2 linked regions of the Daphnia pulex genome follow. Each later gene encodes a partner of the first gene's protein in a complex. Links are inferred from orthologs where the notes say so. Each region holds a gene or a part of one and is shown in the gene's direction. Other genes may lie near its edges. The genes, in order: queuine tRNA-ribosyltransferase accessory subunit 2-like and queuine tRNA-ribosyltransferase catalytic subunit 1-like.

Region 1 (15,968 bases):
AATTGCCATTTTTATTGATCGCTAAAAATAATTTGACTTCCGCCAGCGAAGCCGCTAGCACTTTGATTCCGGATAATACTGGAATTGATCGTTGAAGTCATCTAGCGGTCAAATTAATTTCGATTTAAAATTTTTGTTAAAGAATTCAATAGATGGCGCTTAGTTCTTGATTCATTAAAATAAAACCCAGAAGCGAGTTGCGCAATACTACAGAAAATAAATAGAAGGGATAAAAAAAACGGGAATGAACAATATTACGTGGGCTGAGAAACCGCAAAAGATGAATGATGGTTATATAACGAGTTTTCTATTGTTTGTCGCTGGTAAATCTAAATCTGCCTCGGAGAGTTGAAACAGTCCGAATGAGAAAAAAGAAATAAGAAAAGCGCCAATCTGGTATTTATATATACAGTATTTGACGTGATAATAGCGCAGCGTCGATTATTATTGGGGACTGACCCAGCGATTTTGAAAACACAATTACACCTCCCACCAGGTAAAAAAAAAAAATAAATAAAATGCCGTCAAAATGGGTATATAGAAGGAAACTTGGAACTGTGTTCCAATTCTTGTTTTGCTTTCGCCCACCGACGAATAGGAAGAAAAAGAAATTAGAAATCTTTTTTTCATTCTATTCCAAGCGTCCAGCACCTTTTTTCTCTCTCCTCTAAATTATTTCCATCGTCGTCGTGTGTCTCAATCGTCTATTTTTTTCTTTTCCCATGGCAGTCCCTCCTTTTTGATATCTTAATCTTGCCGACTTAATCTCTGCGTGTGTGTCTGCCGTTGCGGAGGTGAAAGTATAGTCTGTTCTGTATATGCTCTTGATGGAGTGTTCGAATGCAAATGTTTGAAAATCACGCCGGAATGCTGATGCCGTATACGTTCAACGGGAACTCGTTTTCTCGCCCAAATAATAATAATAATAATAAAAAAAGAAAATGTGTGTTGCGCGCTCAAGATAGATTGACTTTGATGACGGCTAATGGATAACGACCGATACAGGAAAGAAGAAGCGCCGCTCTTTTATTTGATATTTTTGTAATTCTTTCGTGCTGACGGCCGTCGACCGTCGTGATAATTGATGGTATAGCAGCAGCAGCCATCAACTGAGACGGTTATGAAGAGAGACCTACATTTACGGGAGGATACGAGCGACGTGACTTTGTAGCGGCGGCAGATGCTGGGCAACCGCGTTGACACGGACGTTAGAATCAAACGCACACTCGTCTGGCCATCGCCGAAATGAACGTCTGCGAGAGAAATGAAAACGGCCAGCAGGGAGAGGAGATATATGCAAAACTAGGAGTAGTATAGAAATGATTAGTGGTTGGCTTGTCCCCGATTCGACGCTAGTCTGAGCTTTCTATTGTGAAAATAATAATAAGAAGAAGAATCAACGTGTAGAGACCGGCTTCTCGTCCGCCTTGAAGAAAGAAAAAGCTTTCGTCTACATGTATATTTGCATCTGGAAGAGTTGTGTGTAGAAGTGGAGCCTCCCATACTTATCCGGGCTCTTGTTTGACTTGTTTTTTTTTTCTTCAATAGAAGAAGAAGGAGGATCCGTGGCAAATGGCGGCGACCATTATGTTTTCCGACCGCCTATATTCACGATGAGAGATTTCCTTCTTCATTATCATCGTGAAAAACTGTTGACAGTTCAATCCCCTCCTCTGCGCCGCGTTATATATCGACCGCAGCATCTGAGGGACGCATATGAGTAGTTCTCTCTCGTTTGCTCTTTGTCCTCATTGTTCACCCAAAAACCCCTCGGGGCTTTTCATATTTTTTTTTTATTTTTCCCGTATCGATTGTCTGATCTCGTAACGACTTCGTGAGCTGCTCATCTAATCGACTGCAATACTCCCCACCATTCAAAGTCAAACAAGGTCGGCGTGCACACGATTCACGATCCCTTATGATGGTAGAAGTTGTCGGTTGTCTGCCTCCTTTTTACTAGGGGCCTTTGATATTAGACGCCAATCGAGTCGGACTCTCTCTCTCTCGGGATAAAAGGAGCAGCAGCTGCGGGCTATGTATCCGACTCGAACCGGGAATAGATCATTAACGCTTTACTGAACGCGCGTTTCAGTTTCCCGAAAAAGAAGAAAACAAAAAACGGAGCAATTGACGTGGTGGTGGCCTCCTCACGGCGCGGCCAAACATCTTCCCGAGCTCCTAAATAATTTTTTTTTTTTTTCTGGAGATTTTTCCTATGAGCTCAGTGTGTTCAACACCCCCGCTGGGTGTAGGAACGAGATGATCGCAACGGGAGGTTAAGTCAATTGAAAATGAGCGCCAACCGAAAAAAAACATTTTCTTATTTTTTTTTTTTTTTTGTGTTTCCCGGACGGCGGCCGCAGACTATGAGGTCGGATTGAGGTTAATGGGAGCCCCCAACTTGTCGGTAGAGAAGGGAGGAGTCGTAACGTAAATGTGTGTACGTCTAATACTCTAATATAACTACGGGCAAAAAGACGTGCCAGGGCGCGTCTACTGTGTCGGGATTTTTCTCCACCGGAACAGCACGCCATCTTTGTCACGATCTGGCGTGCACATGCTGTAATAAAGTCGAGATATATAGTACTTGACTCTGGCTGGTGGTTGTTGTTGTTATCCCCCCCAAGACAACACACAACAACCCCCCCTCCGCAGCGAATAGGCAACAAGAGGTTGCGAACGCCAGCGACCGTTGCTGTGTGTTTTGGTTGGAGGGGACGGGTTGGTGTATACCCGCAAATTGAATGATTATCTACTTAGACGAGACTCACGGCACGGGAATCTTTCGGTATAAATCTTTTTGGCGAATGAGGTTAGCGATTGCTTCATTCATACGTGCGCGTGAGTCGAGAGAGTGAAACAGCCAGCAGCCGCTATCTATAGGGAAAAGTGCGCGTGAATCATGACGACCGACCAAGCTAGCCTCTCTCGTGTGTGCTGTTTGCACAGTGTGTCCCGGCACCCGATTTGGAATGGAGCCGAGGAGAAACTTTGACAACCTCTTCGCCCATCGACACCGAAACGGGCAGGGGAATTTTTGTTCAACAGTTTTGTCCAGGTGTAATGGAATATATTTACTACTCACTCACCTGAAGCCTTGGATCTTTTCCAGGACCATGGACGCATGCGTTTTCATGGCGTCGTCGGTCGCCGCCGTCCCGCCGCCGTCCGCTCCCGGGTTGGGACTGCCAGTTCGGGCCGGACTGTTACTCCTCGAATTGTTGGTACTGATTCGGGCCAGGGCCTGGGCCAGTTTCAAATCTCCTTCCATCATTTTCGACAAGAGCTTTTTTGGGGGGTTGTTGTTGACTGGTCAAACTGAGAAACTGTTGAGTTGAATGCACTTTTGGGGGGTGGAAATGAATAACGGACGAGAGAGTCAGCTTGTTCTTATTCCCTGGAATTTTCGAATTGTTCAGTGCAGCAATCAAGGATAAGAAGAAAAAACGAGCAAGAGAAAATCAAAAGAGACTGTGGGGTTTTTGCTTCCTGCCCGTCCGGCACTGACAGAACGACTGGCACAGTTGGAATCAGCAGGGAGCAGCTCTGCTGCTACACACGAACTCTCCCGTCTGCAGTCTGCACCTCCTTCTTTCTTATTTTCTTTCTCTTTCTCCCCTTTCTTTTTCTTTCTTTCTCTCTCTCACTCGTTTCTCCTCGATGACCAAATTGCCACTGCGACTGCTGTGTGCGGAGCCCAGCTAGTCTCAAACTCTTGTGTGATATCCTCGACCATTTCGACGCTCTTTTATGTGTGTCCGCGCCCGGACGACACGGGAGATCTTTGTCGACGACGAGATGACTGTCTGTATAACCTGGCCACCTGTTGGATTTGTATCTACACCAATCGCAACCACCGCAAATAATCGATACGACTATGGAATTTCAAATACTCATCGCCAAGACTTGATGAACTTGGCAGTTGCCGGCAATTGCTGTGCAAAGGTCAACGTAGAAAGCGGAGATTGCTTCGTATAGATGTGTATACATACATACTGTACAGGATAGTAGTAGCTTCGCTGCCTTAAGGGCGTGAACGAAAAAACAAAAAAATACTGTACAGTGGCCGGCCGATGTGGGAAACTGAATTGATTATACGGCCGGTAGTAGTGCGAATCGAATGCGGTCTCTCATCTGCTATATTTATAAATGCCTATGTGTGTGTTGTTTTCTCTCACTTGGTGTGTTTCGGGGCATAGGGGAGATTATATTGCAGTGGTTACAGCTCACCTCCACTATATACCAACCGGTCCCACATGTAATAATAATAATAACACACGCCCTCGATTCCTCCTTTATTTCCCAGACCGCGGCCGGATCACCGACTATGGCGCTATGTCGAATCGTCGTCGCACACCCACCACCACCACCACCACCACCACCAGATATTATATAGAAATATGGTCCACCATTTCACGCTAAACACAAAGAAAAATTGGGGATTTTTTTTTTTTTTTTTTTGCCTTTCTTACAAAACAACACGCGTGTAGAAAAAGATGCACAGATGTAGGAAAACCCAATCGCGGAGACGGTTGAAATATTTCTGGAATAATCATCCGCGTGTAGACGACGCGATCCATCACCCACCACCTCCCTCGGAAAAAAAAGTAATGCAACTTCCGTCCGTCTGTTATCTTTTCATCTGTTTTTCTTTTTCTTTTTTTCAATTACCACATTCAAATTTCTCTCTTGTGTAGCGGTTTTTATTATTTTTCTGTCGGGGTAGATAGAGAGATGATGGCCGTGTATACATATAACAGATTGTGCGTTGGTTTTTCTTTTGTATTATTTCGTGTCTGATATGTGGAGCGTTTCCTTCGTGAATGATGATCTCACATCAATGTGGATTCTCCTGCCTCCTCCTGCCACCGGGAATTTCCATATTCTAATCGACCGCGCATATCCGTGAGAGCGACTTTCAATAAAACGCGTTGAACGAAGAAAAGCCAACCACCCCCCGCTCCCGCTCCCGCGAACTTTCTCGTCAACAATCGTTTCAATTTGTCTTGCTGACTGTTGGAAGTCAGAAAAAGAAGAAACAAAAAACCCAAAAGAAATATGGCAACTAAAACAAGAAATGAAAACAACGTGGGGTTTTTGTTCGCTAGCTCCTCATCGCGCTCGCCAACTGTTTCACTAAAAATGAAAGAAATATAAAAATTCTGAGGGATGGCATATTATTTCAGCTATAAAACTACTACTATATACTATATCTTATTGCCTGGCGTTTTGTAATATTAGTGTTTGCGTCGGCGTTTAGCCTTTCATCCCGTTTTTTTTATTCCTAATAAGTTTAGCTTTCAAATGAACGATTTTTTCGTTGTTTCCCCGCGCTTCTTCTTCTTCTTTTTATTTGTTTACAACAAAAGACGAAGGCATTTCTTATGGCTGCTGTCAGTTTATTGTGCATGCGTATAATAACGAGCCTGCCAGTCGTGTCGTGTCAGCAATATAAGAAAGAAGAAGAAAAAACATTTGAGCGTGCGAGCTGCTCAAGTTATTCGATAAGTAGGGCTATACTTGGACTCGACCTGTAGTCAAAAGGAACAGGTCCTAGACGCTGTTGTTGTTCCTGTTCTTCTTCTTCGGGAGTTGGCGAAATACCCTTAGATAGAAATGAGAAAATGGCTTTTTTTTTTAAAAGAGAAGAGAAAGAGAAAGACATCGGGGCAGACCTTCTGCCGGGAGGCAAAAACGAACCGGACAGACAACTGTGAATGAGCGCCGCTATATACTGTCAGATGACATGTCATAAATTGACGGGAAAATAGGCCGTGATCTAAATACATGAAACATTCGTTTTCCGATCAATTTTAATTTTTGGTTTTTTTTCCGGGGAAAAAAATGTATTCCGACTTTTGTGTTGTTTTCGTGCATGTGATTAGTTTACATATGTAGATAATAATGGGTCAATGGGTAGATCGGCGAAATGAAACAAAAACAAAAAAACCGGATTGTTTTGCAGGTGATTGTTTGCTTTTTCCTGGGCAAATGATTAAGATGTATCTAGTTGTTGTTGTATCTTCGGCCAACGAAGCAGTTCAAAGAAGAGTATATTTTTGTTAGTTTTCTTGGCTTCCGCTTATTTGTCGAGAAAAGCTTTCGATGAGCGCCGATGGGCGACTTTTCCTGGAATCGAATTCGGCTGGCCGATCGACCAAAGTGAAAAGAAAAAATGGGGCGAGATTTTCACTCGATAATTACTTATCACCGGCGATTGGTTTGGCATGTTGTGCCAGGTTTCACTACGGGAAATCGTCGGAGCTTTGCGGCTGTTCGACTCAAAGATTTATCGCTACAGGCCAGACGACCGCATAACTTCTCTTTCATTGAAGATACTACGTCTAAATCCAAAATTTCTCGCTTGACCGTGAATTGCATCTTTTTCTTACCATCATACGAGTCATTCATTGATCTTTTGTCGTCTATTATTCATACCAAAAGCGATTTATTGATCTAATGTCATGCTGACAATCGAATTTGGCGCCGACGACATCGCTGCCGATTGTATTCATCCAAATCAACAAAATTGTCGTCTGCTACGACAGGTCGTTCAGTGTTTGAGACTCACGTGAAATAATTTGGTTTCGAAGAGGTTTTTTGCGTGACAGTGCAACTGATTTGTATAATAATATGAAATTTGCTGTATCTTTGGTGGCCGAATCCAGTGCCAGACTAGGCTCGTTAACGGAATTTGCTCGAATCCCAGAGGCTGTATTCGAAACCCCATTACTTTTGCTACACACTCGTGTATGATTATCTTTCTACCTACGATCAAATGTTGTTGCATTTTTAACGTGATTCTGTCATTATCTTTTTAACCATAGGGTGCTTCTGTTCCACATTTGAGCTATGATCTCTTACAAATGGTTTCAACTGGGCACCACATGCTTCAGATGCCTCTGGTTACGCTTGTTGATCACACAAAAAATGTGAAAGCATTCGGAAAAGGAATAGCTGAGTTTGCAGGTTTAAAGGTTGTTGATCTTGTCATGTGGATGATCGCATCTTGACTACTTTGTCCTGAAAGTGAAACAAGAATTATATAATCTTTCTTTTTAGGAATATTTAAATTATGTGTCTGTGCAAGATTCTGGCACTACAACACCTGAGGGCTACCATGAAAAGAATTCCATTTCTCTGTGGTAAATGCTGGATAACTTTTTTTTTACTCTGTTCCTATCCACCTCAACAATTGTGATGCCAATTTTTTAATTTAGAGCACTCTTTGGCTTTGGCTACTGATATACTATCTTATATTTTTATAGGACAAGAGGTGGAAGGAAACTGATTGACCCCCAGACTTACATATCTTGCATTGAAGCATTGAAACCAGACATGTTTCAAGCGATAGTTGATGGAGATACAACTCAAAGCAGTTCAGCTAAAAGGGTTAGAAAGTCTGTTGATGTTACTGTCAAGTTTGCTGGTATTTGTGCTGACCTGAAAGAAAAGTCTGATGTATGTAACATGTGTTTCTTTTTCAAAAACAGTAAATTTACATTTTCAGTTTTTTTTTTTTCTACACTCCCCAGGTTTTAAAAGACACTCCCATGTTAGCTTGTATAACTGGGGGATACAATATTAAAGAAAGATTGCGCTGTATAAACGAATTAAAAGGTTTTGGTGCTGCTGGTTATGTTATCGAAGGATTCCACACAAACGGAGAATCTGCCACGAATTTACTCTGGGAAGACGTGGAGCCAGTTTTAACGGAAACTTTGGTACGTTATCAATCATTCTTGTCTTGGCAGACACTAGAGAGCCGTGGAACACATTCAGATTGTATAAAACATTTTTTGGGGTTTTAATTACAGGGTTCACTTCCGGAAAATCTACCTCGAGCATTTCATGGACCCATTACACCTATCGTGCTACTGAAACTCGTATCTAAGGGTAAGGATTTAAAATCTTCGAATCTCGCCAAAGTTCTTAATAAGTCTTAATCTTTAAAACAGGCATTGATATTTTTGATGCAACGTTTCCGTGGCTAGTTGCAGAACGAGGGGGTGCGCTGGTTTTTCCTAATTCACTGTCCAAAGAGTAATAATCACTACGTTTTTCGATATTCATGCAGTAATTATTTAATTAACAGAAACGCTCCTGTTACTGAAACATTGCCAAGCGTGAAAGCCCCAGCAGTAGTTGCAACGGACCAAAAAGTTGCCAAACTTGCAGATGATAACAGCAATGACGAATCAGTGGATCGAGTCTACGAAATAAATCTCAAAGACAAAATGTAAGCCGATTGCTTCTAAATTTCTCGATTTTCACATACCTAATTGTAATTAACATAATAATCACTAGATACTTCAGTGACACCAGACCTTTATTAGAAGGCTGCTCTTGCTATAGCTGCCGCAAGTATTCGCGAAGTTACGTTCACCATTTGACCGCAACGGGTGAACTTCAAGGGCCTATCCTGATAATGATGTACTGATTACTATAGCTGCTTTCATTGCCTCGTTCGACATCATTATTTTTTTTTTCTTTTTACAGGCACAATCTTCATCACTACATCAACTTCTTTAAAAGTATTCAGCAGGCCATTAAGGACAATGAATTACAAGCTCTGCAATCTAAGCTTGATCTGTTTGTTTCCTCCCGCAGAAACTGAAAATAACAAATTTAACTTTTTTTTTTAATAGTTCTATTTCTCTACTTTTTTTAATTTAAAATCGGCAAAGGATTTGTAAATGTTTAATAACAGAGTCTCCGCACACTGTGGATTCGAACACGGAAAAGTGCTCGGGCGGAAGTGCGCATAGAGTTTTATTGGCTCCAACACGTAGAGCCATGCATTCAGTGGGTTTAATTAGAATTTCGACTTGGTAAGGCGATTTTGTTTTACTAATTTTAAGTCGAATGTTTATTTTCTCATTTATGAGGACGCAGTTGCCTTCCTGTGAAAATAAGGACGAAAAAGGGCGCTATTTCTTGAGGCTCCGAGTTTTTAGGTTATGACGGTAAAACGGTTTTTTATTGCCTTTTTAAAACCGAACCTTTGAGGTAATAGTTGGTAAATGGGTAAATGCGAGTTTTAAGGCATTTTAGTTGTGCTGACCCACGGTGCGCTGTATGGCAAGAAAAAATTTTAATAATCTAACGAAACAGAGTTACGATTATGCTGTCGTAGGCCTATAAAGATACTTATAAAGCATTTTTATGGCTCGGAAGTTAAACGGCCTTAACCCATTTCTAATGTCTTAAAATAGCTTTTCGGAGAGTTCTGCAGAGGTCAATGTTAAGGTTAAAAATTTCGGCTTCAAATAAAAATAACAGATACATATTAGAGAGAATCATTGTATTCTTCCTCGCATGCCAGGTCGTTAATTCGAATAACAGAAAGTATAGAAACGAGTTTAATTTTTCCTTGATAGGGCGCACCGTGCCAAAAACTAGAAATCATTTTTCAATCTCAATTATGGGGAAAGATAGCAATTTCCTCCCATTCCGGTGGAACGGACCTCCTTTGAAAAGTTCTAGTGGAAGTTTCTGTGCGGATTTTTCGTTCCGGTGGACCATCAGGTGCGGGACCGATCAAGGATGCATCCGCTTTTATTTCGGCAATCTGCGGATTCAGGGACGAATAGCTTCATTCAGAAGTACATTAAGCATTCATCAGTACATTATTACATTAATCCGAACACAAAATCTAATCCAAAATACTCATTTCAAACCAAAATCAATCTCTACTAATCTAAATTCCAAAACACAAAACCTAATCCCCGATTCCTTGGTATAGAGAATCCAACTGGTTCTTCCCGTCACTCTAGATCTTGGATTTTCAAGACAACATTTTTATCTTTTTTAATTATTCAATGGTTTACGTATTCACGTTAAACTTGAATAAAATTTTATTATCCATCATAAAGCACAAATAATGAAAACTAAAAAACTGAAAGAATGTTGATGAGGTAGCTTATCTTGTACTCGACGATCCTAATCATCTTTTTTTAGAGGTTGGTTGAGATCAACTATACTTCGCTACGTTTAATCCTTTAAACAAATTACTTTTTCAAGTTTTACCTTCTCATGTAAGCCTTAAACATTTGAAACAACCCATGCGACTAAATAACCTTTGTAACGTGAAGGATAATACAGTGTAAGGTCGTGAGATAAACGCTTTTACGTCGTACTCAATGAGCTAACCTGTCACTTCGGAAAGAAAACCTTGACTCCACAATTTACGACCGCAACTTTACAACATTTAAGGAAAAGAGAAGCACACGTGATACGCACCCTCGGTAAGTTTGTAATATTTATGTGTTGTAAGCTTTCCTTAAGCACTTGAGTAGAGTGATAACTAACTCTTCTTTAAACTTTGTAGGATACCCGCCAAAGAAATGTCTTGGCAGCAAAGAATTAGTTTATTATCAGAAACCTTTCACAACTGACGCAATGTGTGAGCTATAAAAATTAGATCAATTTATATATTTTGCGGCCCAGTATTTCTTTATTCCATTCGGAGCAGTTTATGGTCATTTACAACCGATTCGTTGGATCATTACCATGTCTACAATGTCGTCTAATTCGGTAAGGAAAACTTTGAATTACATATTTATTTGAATATTTATTATTTATTCAATTACAGTCTGAGCAAAGCGCTGGCTTCGTCAATCACGCATTTGACGATGGTTCACCTGATGGCAATATGTGCGAAAAGAATATTGACACGGAAGCTCCCGCAGTGATAATAACACAAGTAAAATTCACAGTTTAATGTAATCAAAATAATGTTTTCAATAAGGAAATTCCATCGAAAATTAAACAGAATGAAGGTGAAGATCAACCGGAACGAGAAAATTGGGACAATCCTGTAGAGTTTCTTCTCTCTTGTATTTCAATGTCGGTCGGATTGGGTAACATTTGGCGGTTTCCGTTCGTTGCCTATGAGAATGGAGGTGGTGCTTTCTTAATTCCGTACCTAATCGTGCTGGTCTTCATTGGACGGCCACTTTATTTCCTCGAGATGATCCTTGGACAATTTTCAAGTTCAGGATCCGTCAAAATTTGGGACTGTGTACCATTTGCTAAAGGTAACACCGAGTAGATATTTACTACAAGAATGAAATAATTTAACCCTATTTTTGTTATAAGGTATTGGATACGGACAAGCGCTGGCTACCTGGTGTGTCGTCACTTACTACTGTGTCTTGATGGCCTTGGCCTTTTTCTACCTCTTTGCTTCATTCCAAGCTGTTTTGCCCTGGACTGAATGCGATCCTGAATGGGCAACTGAAAATTGCTACAGTACCACAGCTAATCTATCGATGGCTAATCTGACTAACACTAGTGTGTCCAGTGCAGAAGAATATTTCTAGTGCGTAACAAAATTTTTCTCCACATGTGATTCGATTTATTTAACTATCTGTCTGTTCAGCATTTATGTCCTGAAGAAAATTCCCAATATGGATGATGGCATCGGGACTCCAGATTGGCGACTAACTTTGTGTCTCCTGCTGTGCTGGATTTTAGTATTCGCAATGCTCGCCAAAGGAGTGTAAGTACAGACTGTTTAAAATGTCGCCTACTGCAATTACATAACCTTAATCATCACGATTAAATAGATCCTCGTCAGGAAAGGTGGCTTATTTCACAGCCCTTTTTCCTTATGTCGTACTTATCACGCTTCTTATACGAGGTTGCACTTTACCCGGAGCAGGTGACGGCATCTTGTACTTTATCACACCTGACTGGGAAAAAGTTTTAACACCAGATGTAAATATTTTCCCTTCACGTGTACATAATTTGAAAGGTCATCTTGATTAAACAGAAAAATTATGCTTAGGTTTGGTACGCAGCTGTGACGCAGTGTTTCTTCTCTTTGTCGGTTGGCTTTGGACCGATTTCAACTTTTTCCAGCTACAACCCATTCCGCCATCCGATTTACAGGTAATAGCAATTTTACTAACGATTCAGTTTGGTTATTCGTTCAGTAGTTTATGTCTCCATGTAGAGATTCAACTATCGTCAGCTTGGCGGATACTTTTACCAGCATTCTGGCTGGAGTCACCATTTTCTCAATTCTTGGCAATTTAGCTTATGAAACAAATCAACCCATCGAAAATGTTGTTCAAGGTGGAACCGGGTTAGCTTTCATTTCGTATCCGGAAGCTATATCGAAATTTGATGCAGTCCCTCAGGTCTAATCAGATTTTACGCACATAAATAATTCATTTAAACACATTTTAATTAATTTTGTGTGTTGACGTTCAATAGTTATTCGCCGTGCTCTTCTTTTTGATGCTGATTACTCTTGCGATCGGAAGCGCATCCGGACTTGCCGGATGTATTATTACTATACTGTCTGATGATTTACCACACATTCCCCGTTGGATTGTCACTGCATTTGTTTGCGCCGCCAGCTTCCTCATTGGACTTGTTTACGTTACTCCGGTAAACTAATATCAAGCTCGTTTTGAAATTTTCTGCATACAATTTATTTGTTTGAACAGGGAGGCCAGTATATTCTGGATTTGGTGGATTATTTTGGCGGAGGATTCATCATTTACAGTAGGCTTTTTGGTTTACAAATGGCAGTTTTTTTTTTAAATGTTGGTTTGATAAAATAATTAAAATTTCTAGTTATGGTGATCGCTGAGACTATTGCTGTCTGTTGGATTTATGGTATAATTCAAAATGTTTAACCAAATTCAGTTATACGATTAATCTTTATGATTTTTACAGGACTCAAGCAAATAGTCAACGATATTCGCTACATGTTGGGATTCGGATTGGGAATTTATTGGAAATTCACATGGTGCTTTTTAATCCCAATTGCTCTAGCAGTCATCTTTATCTATGCTGTAAATATACAAAAATTAATCGTAACACCAGGTATGTAATTCATTCTACTTTCACTTCAGATGGTTGTTTATGAACCGTTGAAGACTGACGATGGAGAACCTTACCCTCCCGCCGCAAACGGTAAGTACAATTTAAGTTGTTACGTAACGGTGATAAAATAACACGTCTTATAATGTATTTATTAGCTGCTGGGTGGGTATTGGCTGCTATTGCCATACTTCAAATTCCGATATGGGGAGCTTTAGTTGTTCGCAAACAACAAGGAAATAACTGGATTCAGGTCTGCCTTATTATATAGTTATCTCTTTTTTTAAATGAATCAAACTAACAATTAAATTCGTTAATAATACTCAGCGATTCGAAGCTAGTCTTCGGCCGGCAGCTGAATGGGGACCCAAAAATCCTGGAATCAAACGTGACTGGTTAGAATACAATAAGCAACCTATAAGATTCTCATGGATTCCCAATCCCAAATGGACCAGAAGCTGTAAATCGCACTAGGAAACGTATTTAAAGGTCTAATCGTGTGATTCCTATTATATAAAGACCGGTTTTAAACAATAGGTCTGTTGAAAGTTATAACGCCAGAAAATAAATTACTATTTGTAAAACGAACACAGTGGAAAGAGAATGTATTTACTACCAGTACAACTCATCAAAACAATCCAAATTATGTCTCACCCAAGGAACAGATGGAATAACTCACAAGGTGTAAGACAATATTATTCCGAAATTTTAGGCTCTTTGAACACGCTTCCTGTATTTAATGGGTGCCACTGAGCATACTGCACCGCAAGTAACCCACGAATCACACTCAAGAACGAAACATTTATTCTCGTCCTGTGTGAGAATTGTATCTGGAGAGTGGCATTCGTGACACAAGACGTATTCCAACGCATAGAGACGCAAAATGTCTTCAATCTTCTTATGACTGATGTATCCTCTTCCTGGGGAAGACAGCACGAGAGATGGGTAGTCATCTTTGGTTAGAACTCCACTAGCTCCCAACTCGGATAGGATAAACGATGATACGTGGCGTAGATCTCTACCAAGTTCTTTGCAAAGCAGTGAAAAGTTGTCGATGCAAGTTTTCTTATTTCCTCGTTTTACGACCTGAGGAAGACTAATGCAAAACTTGTTCTCAGGACAAGTGACGGAAATGTCAGTTCCGACCAACACGGTCTTTTCCGACTCAGGAGTTACGTCACATTTGCCGGTGACTAGTCCTTCGGTTTTAGGGGCGAGGTTTCCCAAGTCGCGCTGACAAAAGAGTGGCCGGGAGGATTCAATATCCATAATCTGTTCAGATAAATCCATGCCCGTTTTCTTGATCCCGGTGCTCTGCGCTGGAACAGAGTTATCCATACATCCATGTTCCTCTGTTTCGACGGTCTGCGCCGGAACAGTTGGGTTATCCACAAGTCCAGTCGTCTCAATCCTACCAAACTGCGGCAGAAGAGGAAGTTTCATTGATCCATTTGACTCTATTTTAGAGATCTGCGCCGGAAGATCGGAATTTGGCATCACGTCAGAAGTAGATGTTTCTTTACGAATGAAGTCATCTTTTATGCTTTGAAACGATAGAAGGAAACAGGGGTCTTCTACGTTTTCCCCCTTAAGGAAATCATACCGTCTTCCACGACGGAAAAGGCACTTAATAGAAGCGAACAATTTCATTTTAACAACGATGAAACTTGTCTTTTGTCGAATATATGCAGCAAAGTAAGATTACAGAAAACTTGGAAAGCTTACTAACACCTCTATGAAGCAAGTATGATTTTGTGGTAGAGCCTCTTCGTACTTATACGCCTTCAACGAACATTTTCGGTTCCGCAAGTACTCCCGTGCTCACTTTTCTTCAATTTGATAAATGTGTTTTATCGAAAAAAGCTGAGTAATCATAAAATTATTCATCTATGGGTTTTAACTTACATTATTCAACCATTTTTTTTATTTCGTTATCATATTAATTAGAAAAAGAACGAAAAATTTTACAGGTCTCAGCTGTTGACCGGTTGTTAATACTCCTTAATCCTTTTTAATTATTTTATATTTATTTAATTTTTTAAAAAAAGTGTTTTATCCAGAGATGTTGCACTTGCAGCAATTTTTTTAAAAAAGTGTATTATCCAGAGATGTTGCTCTTGCAGCAATTTTGTAATTTGTTGCGCTCTCGTAGGTTTTTAAATTGTTTCAATTATTTTCAAAATCTTTCAATTATTTCTAGGAACAATGGAAGATATCGAAATGGATTCAATTGTTGAGAAAAAACTTAGCCATAAGGAACAAGCAGAGAAAAAATATAATGCTGAAGAAATGGCAGAATGGAAGAGAAATAAATGTCTTCGGAATTATCGGAGAAAAATGAGAAAAGAACACGCCAAGGAGATTGAGAGGCTGGAGGCGTTCGATATTGGGTTGCATGGGAGGATTCGACATTTAGAAAATCGTAATCAAATGGTAATGCTAAGTTTTTTTTTATTTTTAAACTGCTATTGACATATGTTTGCTTTTTGTCATGTAGCTAATTAACGAAGGTCAACAGAAAATGGCAACTGGAAAAGAAAAGTCAGCTGCAAAGAAAAAGGTTGTGGTAGCACCCAGTGGGACCAAAAGGTTGCTGGATGGCGATTGTGAGGCATCAGGTTCGAAACGCTATAGAGAGCAGTCGGAAAGTGAACTGGCAACGAAAGTAAGTGATTCAAACAAATGTAATGACTGCTACAATTTGTTAATTTTTTTTGTTTAGTCCTTGGCAGAGTACGAGAAAGCCAAAGCGAATCTTGAAACTCTGTTGAAAACGTGGGAGACAAAATTGGCAAGGTGTACATCATCAGAGCTACCAGACCTCTCAAAGGATGCTGGTGCCATAAAGGAAGCTTTGATGCTTGTAACGAGAAAGTCAGCAGACAGGATCTTACATGCTAAAGGAACAATGCTTGGAGAAGAAGAAAGAGCTTTGAGGCAGATAGAGGCTGATTATCAGAAAAGCTATGCCATGGTAAAATACGACTTGGAAAATAAACTTGCTAGGGTAGTTCTTCCAACAGACGTTAGCTCTTGGCTATCTGAAATAGAATTGAAGCTACAGTAAGTTAATTTTAAATATTATGGATTTCTCTTCTATTCATTTTCATTTTCACAACCATAGAGCCCTT
Region 2 (16,232 bases), about 3.9 Mb from region 1:
GAATATTTAATTAAATCGTGTAGAAATGAATGATATTAGTGAAACCTTGTTGCGTTCTTAGTGTGAGTATATTTCCCATTAAAATGTATTCCATTATTGAAATTAACGAGGAAATTAATCTGTTTTTGTTAAAGCTCGTCAATAATTGCGTACCTTAATGGCTCAGGATGCTGATTAGTTCCGTGAATCAGTTTGATACTAAATTATGGATGTAATCTGGTAATTCATCTTACGACGATTTAAGTCCCTGAAAAACTAATGGGTTTTCTAGAAAGGCTTTGAAGAAACGGCCAGTTCAGTTGCGCCTATAAAACACTGTACGTCTGTCGTTGTTATCATTCAACAGCCGCAGTTCATTTCAGTTGCTCGTTATTCACTAGCTCCGCTGTCACCCAACGATGTCAAAGGTATGTTTCAACTACGATTACCTTAAAAACTTTGTTATTAATTTTTAGTTTAAATTCAGATGCAGATGTGGCTCTTGTTGGCAACGGCCAGTTGTGTGATTGCTCTATCGACTGCCCGACAAGCTCCTATCCGCAATCCAGATGAATCCAACAGAAACAGCGGTTACAACAATGACTACAACAGGCCCACCAATAACCGACCCAATTATAACCGGCCCACCTATAACAATAACAACTATCAGAGGCCTTCTGTTCCAATGGAGTTGCACTTTAATTTCACATTGCCCGAAAATGGACTGCCAGCTATCAAATTGAATATGGGCGCGGTGTCGCAGTACTTGGACGAAATGTATAAGAAGATTTCCTACATGAACAGTTCGTCTGTTCCTTCGAAAATCAAGAAAACTCTGCTCGTCAATATCAAGAACCCCAACAAACCAGTCAGACCCATTCCGGCCGAAGTCTTTGCCGCCGGTTTGCCAAGAGGAGCCTTGATTCCGGGTGATGTCGTCAAGCCGTGCCGCAAATTCATCATCTCCACCTGTAACATCCTGTGCACGGTGCAGCAGACCAGCTGCCGTTCAATTTGCGATGGCCGAGTCGACTGTCTCGCAGGCTGTGAAACGAGTCTTAGAACTTGCGCCAGCTTCTGCGATTCGACTTTCAGTCAGATGGATATCAAATTGGCAGAGGCTGCAAACGCCCTCAAGGACCAAATTGAACAAATTGATAGTGTAGTACAAATCGCGAGTAAAGTACCACTGATTGATGAATTCCAAAATGAAATTCCAAACTTCAAGTTTTACTTGCCAAAGTGTCTTCAAAATTGTGGCTCCAACGCAACTTGCACCAACCAATGTCATTATATCTGTCACAGCGTATTGGAAAAGCCCATTGCACAGTACGCTCAGACTCAGTATTCACCGGTTAATTATGCACGTCCTAACGTTCCTGCTCTTCCAAGTGGCTACCCAGTTGGTTCAGGAATAAGAGAAGGTGATGGTTCCGATGTCAACGATGAGCTGCTGAAAGATGATGACACAGAAAATGAAAAACGCTAATTTTTTCGTCTAAACTTTTATTAAATTAATTTGTATTGATTTCGCGCTTTCGTGTATTATTTGTGCTGTTTGCTCGCAATCATTACACTTGTTCAACTATGACAAAAATTATTCCAACTAGCATCAGCATCAGCAGGTACGGGTTTCAACTGTGAAACATTAAATGCCCACAAGGAAACTATACTGGAGAGTCTTATTGTGGCGGTTTGGGTCCAAGAGTATAATTATCTGTGGGTTTACATTTATCTTGAGAGTGGTAAGGGGACTCACGAGTGTAACTTGAAGAGACGAAATATTTGAAACTAACATAGTCCCGATCCGTTCAGTGGATGTCGAGAACGAGTGAGAAAACCGCTTTTTTATCGCTTTTGAGCAGTTTAGATTTACCGCCCCCCCCGGACCAATTAGAAGATAGTGTCGTCTGCTTTCAATTTGTTTTCGCTCGGACACTTTTTCGTAAGTTTCGAAAAAGAGACGAAGTTTGAGATTATTAGATTACAAAGAAAATGGATCACTGTTTTTAGAAACGTACGTGGCCGTACGAAAAGTAGGACAATAAATTAAATTATAAAAATGTGGTTGTGTGAACTCTGGTGTCAAGTCTCCATGCTCTCCACTCCATGCTGTTTGGCAGGTATTTAAATAAAACTACACATGGAATGATTTGGGAGCTTAAATACTAGAGTTTAACCTGTTCCAAAGTTGTGAAATGCCTGACTAGTATTTCTCATGTAAGCCCGCTGTAGGTGCATGGCAATTTAATTGCTCTACGACTTTCTCCTTTGTGCAGCTTTGAGGCCTGAGACAGCCATCATAGCAACAAGAAGATATAGTAGTATGCAAGTTTTGCTTGTGTTGGACTGTCATCAGCAACAATCTCATTATTATCACTAGGATAACGATTTGGGTTACTTTTATTCCTGCGACCTGCTATATATTTTAATGATGCATGACTTGCACATATGACAGTGTATTCATAGAAACCTTAAATTGTCCTGTTTCTTGACAATTAGGATTTGCCCAGTGTCTCATTTTCAACTTTTCCTTACTTGTTTCTTTCAATATTTTTTTTCGTAACCCAATTTACATTTTTCCTTTAGATACACAGCATCACAATTATTGGAGAAACTAGGATGTACTTCCCCTTCCTTAAATCTCCTCTGTTCTCATGTACATCAATGTGAGTGCATGGGTATATTCACAAGGACGTCCTTTTTCTTATCCCGCCTGGCAGGTCCAACTTTTCAGCGGATGGAAGTCATGGAACACTTGTGGATGCCTGAGCCTGACCGTATTCTCGAGTCTTTTAAAAGGTAGAAAACATTTATTTATATTCTTTTTGACTATTTGGTGGGATTGATTATAAATAGATCAGGCCCAGTTTTGCACCACGCAACTTTGTCTGTGGGTTTAAACAAGAAAATTCGAAATTTTTTTTTAACTTTAAACACTTTTTTTAAAAAAAAGCAAGGTGCAACCAGAAAATTATATGACCAAGAGGGACCTGCCACCACATTGGCATCTCCTGGTTAAGTAAAAAGAGAAAATTATACAGGAATGTGTTTTTTTATTGGTTTCTGCCGTTTGAACATCAAATTATGGACATTTGAAGGACGATCGATTGATTGTGCCGTTAATGATGTGGATGAGTCATCATATTGTCTTGCGGGATTCCCACCGGCCACCTAGACGAAGGCTACTGACAAATTGTGATGTCCAATCGTGAAGTGTTTAAGTTTACTGACGCCAAAATCGATAGGAAAGCCTAGGTTGCTTTAACAAGGTTTTCCATTTTCCGTATTACCATTGTCATTGAAAATGGACTTCATTAGTACCTGGTAGTTTTTTTTTCTTTCGTTGCCACTTTTCCTCCACAAAAGTATTTGATCATGAACGTTGCGCAATATTTATTTTTTTTAAACGACCTTCACATTGGAAATTCCTAACCTTCCCCCTTAATTTCCGTAGTGTGATTTTTATAGTAGCTTACTTCATTTTCCTTTTCTTCGTCCCAAGGACTTTGTGAAAAGCCCAGAAATCTGCTGATGTATTTGACCATAGATAATGACCATGATTCTAGTCGCTTTCACAGTCGTCACCTTTTCTACACTTCATCGAGTCTCTTGATCGCATTTCCAATATGGTCTAGAAAATTAAAAAGGGCAAGGTTAATCAAAAAACGAATAAAATATAATCATGAGTTTTTTTGTACGCCGTGAGCTCAACCTTCCGGAATTAAGTGAAACGCAATTAAGATTATTTTTGTTTGTGGTTTGAACTGAGTTGCCCTTGACCACTACTTCAAAACACCCATTTATATTTGAAATGCGATACTAGAGATTGATTTAAATAGCAGCAGACTATGTTGAATGTTAATGATACAGAAGCTTGCGAAGATTTTGTCAAAGTGTTAACCGGTTCTCGTGAAATTTACAGTTTTCTAATTCTTCTTCTTCTTGTTCTCATTCCAGAAATAATTACACTCGTTCGAAACCGGCCAATTTTCCAGAAAACAGGTCATTATTTCTTTGTCTATTAAAAACATCTCAATTTTCTTACGATATCAGCTAGACAAACAAAATTGGTTCGTCAATGGAAAGAATGAATCGATATTCAGTGTTTTCGTCTTACGTAAACAGAGTCTGTATAGACCCGCCTCTATTTTTTGGCCGATACACTCTGCTATCGTTCAACCGCGTTCAACCACGTTCAACCACAACGGTTGCAAATTTACGTATCTCTAATAATTATGGTCAAAGCAACAGTCTCTACAGCCCCATATGAGTTTGCTATAAAAGCCCTGGATTTCTTCACCAACAAACAGTGGCGATCTAACTCGGTACGTGTGCAGATAGTCGAGAGCAATCCGTGTGAAAATCTACCAACCAACAAAGTGAGTTCTAACTGTTAATTTTAAGTCAATTAATGTTGAAATAATGCTAATCTTAATTGACGAGAGTAGATTCACGATAACCATTCATTCATGTGATGCTAGAGCTCTGAAAGTCTTCTAGTTAAATCAAATTTCAGCCAAAAGCGCTGCAGAAGCAGAGCAGAGCAGAATAAAACCCAACAATTTTTCGGTTTTTATTCAAATAGGTCAAGAGTCTATCACCAAATTCACACGGAGAATGGACAGCGCAGAATTCCGTCAGCGCGGTCGAGAGATGGTCGACTACATCGTCGAGTACATGGAGACGTTGGGTGAGCGACGTGTGACTCCTTCCGTTGAGCCAGGATACCTTCGTGAAATTATCCCGAAGAATGCACCCGAAGAGGGTGAAAAATGGGAGGAGATCATGTCGGATGTGGAGTCTAAAATTATGCCCGGCGTAAGATCAAACATGTTTATTTTTAAATATTATTATGCTTAATAGGTGAAGACGATGAAGTAATCATCGTACTTCGCAATAAAGAAACTTAGATATTTACGTAACCGTGTGCTCCTGAATGTGACAGGTTGCACATTGGCAGCACCCGCGGTTTCACGCTTACTTCCCATCGGGTAATTCGTTCCCGTCCATTCTTGGTGACATGCTTTCTGACGGCATCGGGGCCATTGGTTTCTCCTGGGTAAGGCCAATCATTGTTGTTAAATTGAAAAAAAATATTCGAGACTGAATTTCACCACCAATAACAATCTGAATTCTAATTTAAAATGCAACCCATTTGAATTCCTTTTTCATACAGGCCGCCAGCCCCGCTTGCACTGAACTAGAAACGATCGTTTTAGATTGGCTAGGTAAATGCCGTAATGCTTTCTTTGTATAAGTGAAATAATAAAACTTATGATTTCTTTCACTCAGGGCAAATGATCGGCCTTCCGGACGAATTTTTATCCTTTTCTGATAACAGCAAAGGCGGCGGTGTCATGCAGGTAATGTTTCGAAGACAAAATATCATTTATTGCCACGAGATAAATATTCGTTTTTAATGTGTGCGCATCACTTTAGTCTTCGGCTAGTGAATGTGTCTTGGTTAGTCTTTTGGCTGCCCGTGCCCAAAAAATCAAAGAACTCAAAACATTGCATCCATTCGTCGAAGAAGGTGTCCTGCTTTCAAAATTGGTCGCTTATTGTTCGAAGGAGGCTCATTCATGCGTTGAAAAAGCGGCAATGATTGCTTTCACGAAACTGCGTATTCTTGACCCCGATGAGAACTTGAGTCTGCGAGGCACTACTCTGGCTCAGGTATAATCAGATGACTTGGCATTTTCTGATTTTCGTTGTAATGCGGTTTCAAACCCTAATAATTATCTTTTAAGGCAATCGAAGAAGATCGAGCGCTGGGTTTGATTCCGTTCTTTGTTTCAGCCACATTGGGAACCACTTCCTGCGTCTCATTTGATAACTTGGCAGAAATCGGCAAGAAAAATATTCCTTTTTTTCCCAACAATTACGAGACAGATTTAATTATTCTTAATTTACCGATAGGTCCGATTGCTCAGGAGGCTGGAACATGGCTTCATGTCGATGCAGCCTATGCTGGTAATGCGTTCATCTGCCCTGAATTCAAATATTTAATGGACGGCATTGAATTTGCAATGTCTTTCAATACAAATCCTAACAAGTGGTTGCTAACCAACTTTGACTGCTCTACTATGTGGTGAATACTTTTTCCATTATACTTTCAATTTACTCTTATTATTTTCTAATTATAACTTAAATGGAAAATTTAAGGGTCCGTGATCGCTTCAAGTTAACTCAAGCCATGGTAGTAGATCCACTTTATTTGCAACACAGTCATTCTGGAAAAGCTATCGATTATAGGGTAACAATTGTTTATTGCTATAAATTTAAAATTATACTAACTATTACGGTTGGATATGACGTTGCTTTTTGTTAGCACTGGGGTATTCCTTTGAGTCGCCGCTTCCGCGCACTTAAACTATGGTTTGTCATCCGCAATTACGGTGTAGCAGGATTGCAAAAATATATTCGCGAGCATTGCCGTCTGGCCAAATGTTTTGAATCACTTGTTAAAGCCGACGAGCGCTTTGAAGTGTGTAACACTGTCAAGGTACAATGTCCACATCAAATAACTACCAATTAGTACACTAATCATAAACATTTTTATGTTTGCAGATGGGATTAGTGTGTTTTCGTGTGAAGGGTGACAATGAACTGAATCAGAAACTTTTGTTAAACATCAACGCCTCTGGTAAACTGCACATGGTCCCGGCTTCCATCCACGGACGGTTTATCATTCGCTTCTGTGTCTGCGCACAAGATGCCAAGGATTCTGACATTGAATACGCGTGGAACGTGATAACTGATTTTGCGACAGAGTTGCTGAATGAAGAGGTCAACCTAAGTAAATCTGTAGTTTCTCTGGATGGCCTGGAGAGCTGTGATGAGGAGCTGGTTCAGCATATAGATCAACTGGAAATTTCAGAGCTGATGGATTTAATGGAAACCGTACAATTCCCTATCCAAAAACCTCACAGAAAGCACGGTAGTTGGCTAAAACTACTTGGAACCAGAGTTAGAAAAATTGTGAAGAATGGTGATTCTCATTGAATGTAAATGTCTTTTCATTTTCGTCTTGGTGCAACGTGAAAGCAATTCCTAATTTTTTCTCGCATTCTTCTCAAAATCGGTTGAAAAAGATTATCGTTACCGGACACAGCGTCATGATATATCAGGTGATGGAACAAATGGAAATTTGGCAATTATTTCATATTCACATATTTTTGTTTAAAAATCATATGAAATAAAATTGATCAAAAAAAGAAAAATGTACTTTCGTTATTGTCCCCGAAATTGTGAAAAGATAACAAAACGGTGTTTTTGTTTGAAAATCTTGTTTTCCCGGGTTTTTCTGTATTCTGACTTCTGAGGCGTCTGCTGTAAACACTAAACAGTAACAGCTACACACATCGAAGTAATTCACGTGTGAAAGTCTATCGATGTGCAAGGTTTTTTTGCTGTGACTTACGTGGATAATTTTCTAATTGTTCCGAAGTAATATTTTCTTTCGATTAAATTTCACCATGACTCGCCATCCTTTGACGTTTCAAGTTTTAGCGCAGTGCAAAACAACTAAAGCAAAATGCTCTCGAATGACGTTACCTCACCACGTTGTTGAGACACCGGTTTTTATGCCAGTTGGTAAAAGAAAACAGATATTATTATTTTTTTCATTCAATTAAAAACAAGACGAAGAAAAATTACAGAAATGTTGTCTTTTTTCAGGAACACAGGTAACACATCAACTCGGAGATGAATAATTTATTGGTTCCGGTAACTGATAAAATGCCAGACGCTTAAACAACATGCACTTTTTATTCTAGGGCTCGTTAAAAGGTATAGTACCTGAGCAATTGGAGCAACTTAATTGTCAAATCTTGCTTGGAAATACATATCATTTAGGGAACAGACCGGTAAAGCAATACAACAAATTCAATACAAAATTTGAAACTGTGCTAATTAAAACAGGGCTTACACTTTTTAAAATAATAGGGCCCTGATCTGTTGGAGAGTTGTGGTGGGCTGCATAACTTTATGGGCTGGTCCAGAAATTTGTTAACTGATTCTGGTGGATTTCAGATGGTCTCGTTACTAGAGCTAGCTGAGATCACAGAGGAGGGAGTGAAATTTAAATCTCCTTATGATGGTATTTCATCAAATCAATGTAAAAAACTTAATGTGTTAACTTATTTGTTTACTTTTTATAATTTATTGAAGGAAGTGAGTGTTTGTTAACACCTGAGAGATCCATAGAGATTCAAAATGCTATTGGTGCAGACATCATCATGCAATTGGATGATGTAGTAAGTTCAACAGTATCAGGACCTCGAGTTGAAGAAGCAATGCACAGGTAACTGATTTTATAAAGATTATATTATTACATAAAGAGTTAAATTGACAAGATTATCTATTTTCTAGAACTACGAGGTGGTTAGACCGCTGTTTGAAAGCCCATAAGCGGCCGGAAGCTCAAAATCTTTTTCCTATAGTTCAAGGGGGCTTAGATCCGAAATTGCGAACTGAAAGTGCTAAGCAATTGATGGACAGAGATGTTGCAGGTTTTGCAATTGGTGGTTTAAGGTATATTAAGTTAATATTATCAATAATTTAAGGAGAATTTTGCTAACTCGACTGATCGAATTCTTTCTTTAGTGGAGGCGAAGGAAAGGACCAATTCTGGAGAATGGTTCATTTATCTACGGATCTTCTCCCAAACGACAAACCAAGATATCTAATGGGTGTTGGGTTTGCTACTGATCTCGTAAAAACATTTATCATAAGCATTTAAAAAAAGTGGAAATAATTTTTTTATTCTTTAGGTTGTTTGTTGCGCCTTAGGTTGCGACATGTTTGATTGTGTTTTTCCAACACGAACAGCTGTAAGTTATTTTTTAAACAACATAAATATTTCATTTTTGTAACTTCGTTAATTTCTTAAGAGATTCGGGTGTGCACTGGTTGAAACTGGACAACTGAATTTGAAGTTAAAGTCTTTCGCGCAAGATTTTCGCCCTATAGATGAAAACTGTGAGTGCTCCACTTGCCGACGTTATACAAGGGCGTACCTTCACACCATTGCAACGGTAGAGACTGTAGCTTGCAATCTTATTACCGTCCACAACGTTGCATATCAGCTAAAGTTGATGCGTAATATTCGTGAGAACATTTTGAAAGGGACTTTTGTCGACTTTATCTTTAATTTCATGGATACCATGTACCCAAAAAAGGATTTTCCTGTTTGGGCCACGGATGCTCTAAGAGTTGTCAATATTGATTTGTACGAGCGTGGCAGTATGCACAAGCATCAACAGGTTGATTGTTAAAAAATGTATTTTAAACTTGAAAAATAACAAGTGCGCTGGATCTGCGCAAAATAATTTGGATGTTGCAATTGTCACATTACATTGGAAAAATGGCAATGAGACAGCATTGTTTTTCTTTGATAATTTTCAAATCTAAATGGATCCCTTAACCCAATCAATTTCTAAAGTTGCTGGTCCAGACTGTTTATGCTCTTCATAAACTCCACCATAGTATTGAAAGCCAAAACTGGTTATGTTGGTGCTATCTAGAGGTTCTGCATTCTGCAATGGTTGGCCTCTCCAATAGGGTTGGAATTTGTTAAGTGGTAGATTTAGCTCTTGAAATTCATTTGTAGCAGTGAAAAATTGTTCATAGCTTGGAGATCCATCACCCACTTCACCATGATGCTTAAGAATGATTTTGAAATTAGTTGCTTGACCTTGTCCTCTTATTTTCATTCTTATGGAAGAGAAACCAGACAAATCAAAGTCCACTGCTGTACGAACTCCAGCAAATCCTGCTCCATTGGGCTGAGGATTGAGCAGAGCAAAGAAAATTGCTCGCTGAAAGAGTTGTGCCTTCTGAAGCAGAATTGTAGCCTTTGACATTCCTGGCTGGCGTACTCTATAATAATAATGTGGTTACTTGAATGCAAAGTATTATTTGTAAAGAGATATTACGTGTCAGATGATTCAATCCAATTACTGACATCAGCATTAGAATCAGTGAAATCAAAGAGGGTTACATCTTCACCAGCATTCATGCAAGCTTGATTCCTTGAGCTGGAACAAAAAATAAGGAAATAAACAATTTGTTAAAACTAAAACTAAATGTAACAACTTCTGCTTACGATAAAGTAGAAGTCGATAAGCATGCCACTGACGAATGATAACTTGATGCTAGAGTTCCAACAAGGATAGCTCCCGCAACTTTAAGCCCAATATTAGCAACCATTTTTTGTGTTCCAGAAGAAACCAGCGCTTTTATCAATATAGTTATTTGAATACTAGCTCAACCACAACAAAGAACAAAAAGTGCACCACTGGGAAAACGGAGAATCATCTGAGTATTTTGCAGACACATAAAAAAAGTTTCTAAAACTTACGTCGCTCATAATTTATTTCCTAGTAATATTGAATTAATGGAATTTTCTCTTTGTCAAAACTTGTTTATTATTATTCTTACCCCCAAACCCCCGAAAAAATGTATAAATAAAAAAAAATCACCTTGAATTCATACCGACGATAGCTCAGATGGTAGAGCGGAGGACTGTAGCGGCAATCGAAATCCTTAGGTCACTGGTTCAATTCCGGTTCGTCGGAATCCTTTTTTCTTTTCAATTTTAATGTCCGTGTACAAAGTTCATTAAATACACAAATGATAGTTTTAAAAATATGTTCTTCACTTTGTTTTGACCTGGCTTAGTTACAATTTCAGCTCATTTATTATTTCTGCAATTTTTTGTATTTTTATTTTCATTCGTTTTATTTTTAGAAACAAATGCGAACTATTACAATATTTGACGAAAACATCCGCACAAACTAATTCGCGCGCTGCTCGCTTCCTTAATTCCACCCAACCGAGTGCAGTGCTCACTCTAATTTACAACATACAGAGATTGAGATACACACCATTCTTCTAATCTTCTGGTCGAACGACCCATTTTTCCCGCCCAATACCGCGTTGGTATTTTTTCTTTTCCCCCCATCCGGATGGCGCATGGGCCTTGGATTTCATACGTAGTACATTATTGGTTCACAGGTGGCGCAAATGTTGGGCTGTCCTATCCTATTCAAGGGCATTCCTCAGGAAGTTGTCACATTAAAAACAAAAGATTCATCAAAACAAAGATGTGAAAATGATGCGACTATCAAGGATTCATCTTTTCGTTTTTTTCGTGTATCTATGGGTGTATTGTCCAGTAAATGGAATCTCTAATATTTTCAAAGGTTTACCACCTTTATTTGATTTGAGTTTATCGAATAACGATACTTCTGTGAACGTAACTGTTCATCAAGGTACATGGGTTTTCTATGGCTTCCATGCTCTAGTTTATGTTCTAATTTGTCTTACCTTATTGATAAGATGCAAAAGAGATTTGCATTCCACCTTTATTACTGCATGGCTCAGTTGACCCAGTGAAAAGCCAGTACAAATCTCAGGATGTTATAAGGATCATTTGTAAAGATGGGTACGAATTGGAGAACCCGCAAAGCAGTCTTCTGTACTGCTCTCAAAAAGGCCTATGGAAGGTTTTTACCTTGGGAGATTCTATTTACATCCCATTACCGCGGTGTATAGGTAATTCAAATGTAATGACAATTATAAAACCATTTAGTTATTTTAAACTTTATTTACTATTTTGCAGTCAAAGAGAGATGCCCCCCATTGCCACCATTGATGCAAGGAAGTATGCAAGTACAGGTATAATTTGTTTAACTATTACACTTGTCAGAATAATTTCATTGCCCATGTCTAATTCGTAGGAAGGGGGAGTAAATGCAGTCACATCTGAACTAAGTTCCACTCGTGCAGTTTACCAGTGTTGGTTTGGCCTTGAATTAGATCCACCAGAAAGTGAAATCAGATATTGTGTTCGAGGAAAATGGACAGGAGAAAACCCTTTATGTGGTAATAAGATAAACATCGAATTTAACATGACACGTGGAATCAATTCAATTTGATTAGTTCCAGCTAGCTGCCCTCGTCCACCGTCCGTTACAGGAGGATTCTTTATTGCAAGAGGTGTTGTCAACCACATCTACGTGTCCGGAGCTGCTGTCAAGTACTATTGTGATGAGGGTCATCATCAAAAGGGCCCACCACTCCTCACGTGTTCCGGAAAAGAATGGATCCCCAAAGATCTTCCGGCTTGTGTGCCGATAGAATCGTCAGCTGCTGCTGGTAAGTCCCTGTTTACTTCTTGTCGTAGCTACTAGATGGAGTCTTTTGGTCTTTTGCGTACTATTTAAAAAAAAAGGAAGGAACCCACAAAACCTGAAATACGGAAAACTTGTCAATCGGTCTGGTTCTTTTCTCCTCGCGTAAATCTATTCATCGATTGTTGTTAGGCCGTCCTATATTAGAGGCGAAGATTAACACTTGGTGTTTTTGGTCCTGAAAGATTTATGATTCAATTGAGTTTATCTGAACGTTTAGAGCTAGAGGAACCGTTGTGGTCGTTTTCTTTTTCCCTTTCCAACCGAATGGTACAGTTTCGACTCTTATCTTTCCAAAGTCAAGGAAAAGTCTCTTCTATCTCACTTTTTTGTCTCAATGCATTTACACGAGAGGTGTCGATCGTGCTGGCGATAGGATGTTATTCCTGATCGCGCACGAGTCGTGCTATTTATTACCGTCTTCTCCAATAACTTGAAAATGGGGGTGTTGTACAGTTCTACCATCCATCCATCCACGACCATTGGGTTTAGCTCGTGAATAAATTTCCCCGAGCAGTCAACAAATGACTCCTTTCTCTCACTCCTTTACTCACTCGGCATTGCAAATACCATCACCGTGTGTCTGTCGTTCCAAGAAAAACTCCTCCCTTTCTTGTAATGATATTGACTTATGCTAATCCGTCAGTAGAAGTTGCTGATGGGGTTTTCGACTTGTTTGATGGATTAACGTGACTTTTGCACAGTACATATCCCGCGTCTTTTCGAGCCATCGAGCCGTGAACCAATTGAAAAAGAAAAAATAACCCCGGAGACGACAGCGACTTTCATTTTATTGGTTTTTCACACGTATAGAATCTTGGACATAGTGGCTGCTGGAACTTTGTTGAAAGAGAGAGAGAGAAAGAGATAGGATAAATTGCTTGGTGTTCCAAGTTGACCTTCTTGGCTTAATGAATACCAGGCAGAACAGACAGAGAGAGATGGAGCGAGAGAAAGAAAGAGAAAAGAATCTTTCTTCTTTTTTCTTCTTGTTATTCTTCCAGTTTGGAAAATGAAGAGAAAATGACGCCGGAGGAAATCTTTTTGTGTGAAAAGTAAGGGGTTGGAATGTTTGACCCATGGCCAGTCTCAATAATAATGAAGGGGTTACTGTAGCGAGAGAGCGAACGAACGAACTCGAGTGCAAAACTGTTTTGGTTGCTTCCACACTGTTTTGTGTACGGGACAGTTTAATGAAGTGAGAGTTTTCTTTCTCAGTTTTTTTTTTTTCTTTTTTTTTAAGAGTTATTTTGTTTTTTCTTCTCAGCTTCTTCCTCCGGTTGCTACTCTCGAGGCGCTAGCTGCTTGTTTCAGCCAAAGAGTCTATCATTTGGTTCGGCCGGTCGTTAAAAACAAAAACGAAAGAAGAAGAAAAAAACTCAACAAAACAAACTGTTCTTTCTCTCATTCGTAAAACAACAACAGCACGGCTATTTTTTTTTCTCCCTTCCTCTTCGTGATAAAATATTTTTTTATTTCGTTACTTTTTCGACAAGAGGTAACACCTTGCCCGTTTCGCTCTCCCCTCGGCTCTTTATTTTTCCTCTCTTTCACGCACGATCTCTAAGATAAAGAAGAAGAAGAAAAAAAGCGACGACGACGACAGACCACAAGGGACCATCATTCTAACTGTTTAGTGTATATAGATATAGATATATTATCCACCAATCTAATCTCCTGTAACACACAAGTCTCTCTCTCTCTCTCTAGCTGTAGTCTCTATCTATTTTCTTCCTTTTGCCGCTTTATATCTCCGCGGCTCATTCTCTTAACTCGTTTTTCCATCTGCCTCCCTCTCGCCGCTCGAATAATGATAATAATAATAATAACAACACAACGACTACTACTACTTCTGCTTTTTTCCCCTAGTCGTCGAGGCTCTCTTATATCCCCAACGAGAATAAATGAATAGTTTGAAGCGAGTGTGAGAAATGATTAGATTTCGCTTAATTGAAGGGTATTATGGTGCAAGAGTGGGAGCTCTTTACATACTGTGCAGAGAAACTGTTCATTGTTCGTCTTTCTCTTAAGAAAAAAAAAATTTTGGAAAAAAAGTTAAAGAGACGCCCAGAATCTTTTTCACGCTGCCACCTTTTTTTTTTAAAAAATTCCCTTTTTTGCCTTTTGTACACATAGAAGAAAATTTCCAATTCGTTCATTTCCAGTTTCAAAAGTTTTTTTTTTTTTTTTCCTCTTTTGGTTTTTTGTTTTCTCTCTTTATCTTTCCACACTTAATTGGACGGGAATAATGCTAATGTCGGTAGAGTACTACACAACACACCCAAGCGCATTATCCCGTGTTTCACGAAAAGACATGGTCGGAGATGGGAAATTCCGGATGGATGAGAGAGAGAGAGAGAACTAGCCGATGGCCTCAAGTTAGATATGAAAACCCCCCAAAAACACGAAAGCCAAAAGAAAAGAAAAAATAAGCAAACAAAAAATAGAAAAACTTGAAAATGTTTTGAGGGTGTTTAATAGCTATAAAATAGGGGAAAGAAAAAGAAGAGTCGACTTAAAAAATAAACTCTTTTTTTTTTTCTCCCTCCTTTTTTTTAACGACCATTATGCAAAGTGCGTTGCCGCCGCAACCGCCGCCGCCGCCCATGCGCATCCGTCCCCTGTCATTAAGTGCCTCCTCCCGCGCGACACAAACATACATGTGTGGTGGGCTCTCTGTTGGTTGGTTGTTTTATTTGACCTTTTGCCATTGGTGTAACCTGGCGAATCGTTTAACAATCAAAGGTCCCAATCCCAGCAACTCGTCATCGATTTCCCGCCGATGCGGAAACCATTTCGACTCTGCACGACGGAAGTGTTTCGACGTGGTTGATCAATTTTCAATTTGATCCATCATTTAATACACACTGAGGCGGGATCATTGCGAGGGGAGTATTCGATTTGTGAAGCAAAGGGGCGAAGCTGGTTTTACTACTCTTGCGTGTCATCGACGTGGTTATTTTTTGGTTTGTGTGATGAGAAAAATCGTGATGATTTGTCGATGAGAAATTTGAAGCTGTTGAGCGGCAGCCGTGAGAGTCGGTCATGCCCAATGAATCATCGTTAACGTGTACTAGTAGTAGCGTAGTTGTTGGTTGTTGTTGTAGTAGTTGTTACTAGTGATGCCGGCATTTTCACGTAATCAAGCTTTTGCTTCAACCCTTTTTTGCCTTTTTCTTCTTCATTGGTTTCGAGCAATCAGACTCCCGTTGTGTGTCGAGTTGACCACTCTCCGTTGATTGAACAAGAGCCCTTTTCCTCCTCCTCTCTCTCTCTGCATACATTTGAAAAAAAAAAAATCCATCGTCGTGCCAATGTGTTGTGAAAGTTCCCTTAGATTTTGTTTCGGTTCTGACCGACCTCCCCGTGTCTTTCGCCGTCCATTCGGTACGTGCTCTATCGCTCGGTCGTGTCCTGAATAGCTGCTTATACGAGCACCGTAAGACCCGTACGGAAAGGAGGGCACAAAATTTCAATAGCATTACGCAACTGATTTGTTTTTTTTTGTTTTTTTGTTTTCGTACCCATATAAATGTACACATATTTTGTTTCTTTGAGGGGGAAGAAGTACCAAACAAACAACAAGAATTTCGAAATTTTCTTTCTGTTTTATTCAATTTTGGTTCGTCTTGTTTACATTGTGTATGTGTACATCTATATTTCATTTGCTGGAATGTATTCAATTTTGGATTCGACCACGGGTGGGGTGCAGCAGTGGTGGTGTATTATAGGAATTCATCTTGTTGATTTATGCGCTTCCCTTGTGCTTGAAGCACACGACGTCTAGTTGTGTTTCATATTCAAACAAACAGGGTAAAACACACACCATTCCACCCGTCCTTTTGATTGTTTTTTGTGGTAGAGAACAACAAACATGCATTCCTTCGTCTCCACTAATGGGTTACATCCGTGGGTTTGGCTAGTGGCAAATAACTGAAAGGCTCAAACAGAAATGAAGGGGGGAGGGGAACGTTCAATAGCAAAAATCAAAGAAGTTGTTTGAAAAAGGATGTTTAATTTGCAGGGGAAACATTCGTGAACGAAAGGCAAACG

What was found.
Region 2: the proteins of queuine tRNA-ribosyltransferase accessory subunit 2-like (region 1) and queuine tRNA-ribosyltransferase catalytic subunit 1-like are in contact, whole or in part, in a crystal structure (PDB 7OVS), measured with the Mus musculus proteins. The link is inferred for Daphnia pulex from reciprocal best matches to the Homo sapiens genes QTRT2 and QTRT1. Residues at the interface, in NP_001343258.1 of Mus musculus: Arg39, Thr40, Gly41, Ser42, Ala43, Pro44, His45, Leu46, Thr47, His48, Gln49, Thr50, Asn53, Glu70, His71, Glu73, Val74, Glu77, Tyr78, Phe85, Ile86, Gly87, Phe119, Gln342, Glu343, Phe345, Tyr355, Asn359, His360, Ala363; in NP_068688.2 of Mus musculus: Thr50, Thr53, Met54, Lys55, Gly56, Ile57, Thr58, Thr59, Glu60, Gln61, Ser64, Arg80, Pro81, Leu85, Lys88, Ala89, Phe95, Met96, Asn97, Ala307, Lys308, Phe310, Pro320, Thr324, His325, Ala328, Phe329, Ala332, Leu333, His335.

The regions. Positions count from the first base shown.
Region 1 is NC_060021.1:7,439,074-7,455,041, forward strand, and holds queuine tRNA-ribosyltransferase accessory subunit 2-like, read left to right. Parts: upstream 1-6,525; 5' UTR 6,526-6,633; coding exon 6,634-6,750; intron 6,751-6,827; coding exon 6,828-6,977; intron 6,978-7,062; coding exon 7,063-7,145; intron 7,146-7,268; coding exon 7,269-7,461; intron 7,462-7,535; coding exon 7,536-7,724; intron 7,725-7,817; coding exon 7,818-7,896; intron 7,897-7,958; coding exon 7,959-8,043; intron 8,044-8,095; coding exon 8,096-8,239; intron 8,240-8,307; coding exon 8,308-8,433; intron 8,434-8,499; coding exon 8,500-8,617; 3' UTR 8,618-8,645; downstream 8,646-15,968. Other genes in the region: sodium-dependent nutrient amino acid transporter 1-like, read left to right, coding at 10,402-10,405, 10,475-10,536, 10,595-10,705, 10,775-11,039, 11,101-11,323, 11,384-11,503, 11,571-11,721, 11,792-11,895 and 8 more; uncharacterized protein LOC124194826, read right to left, coding at 13,546-14,334; uncharacterized protein LOC124194827, read left to right, coding at 14,946-14,985, 15,038-15,270, 15,335-15,502, 15,560-15,900, 15,962-15,968. UniProt on the Homo sapiens protein: Non-catalytic subunit of the queuine tRNA-ribosyltransferase (TGT) that catalyzes the base-exchange of a guanine (G) residue with queuine (Q) at position 34 (anticodon wobble position) in tRNAs with GU(N) anticodons (tRNA-Asp, -Asn, -His and -Tyr), resulting in the hypermodified nucleoside queuosine (7-(((4,5-cis-dihydroxy-2-cyclopenten-1-yl)amino)methyl)-7-deazaguanosine).
Region 2 is NC_060021.1:11,355,401-11,371,632, reverse strand, and holds queuine tRNA-ribosyltransferase catalytic subunit 1-like, read left to right. Parts: upstream 1-7,310; 5' UTR 7,311-7,460; coding exon 7,461-7,578; intron 7,579-7,662; coding exon 7,663-7,670; intron 7,671-7,760; coding exon 7,761-7,850; intron 7,851-7,929; coding exon 7,930-8,083; intron 8,084-8,154; coding exon 8,155-8,287; intron 8,288-8,355; coding exon 8,356-8,517; intron 8,518-8,589; coding exon 8,590-8,698; intron 8,699-8,756; coding exon 8,757-8,816; intron 8,817-8,876; coding exon 8,877-9,260; 3' UTR 9,261-9,359; downstream 9,360-16,232. Other genes in the region: uncharacterized protein LOC124194017, read left to right, coding at 399-407, 467-1,468; tyrosine decarboxylase-like, read left to right, coding at 4,600-4,800, 4,928-5,041, 5,159-5,210, 5,275-5,345, 5,422-5,658, 5,733-6,073, 6,148-6,238, 6,314-6,487 and 1 more; uncharacterized protein LOC124194020, read right to left, coding at 9,393-9,864, 9,921-10,022, 10,091-10,194; uncharacterized protein LOC124194013, read left to right, coding at 11,099-11,258, 11,326-11,541, 11,609-11,664, 11,727-11,871, 11,929-12,144.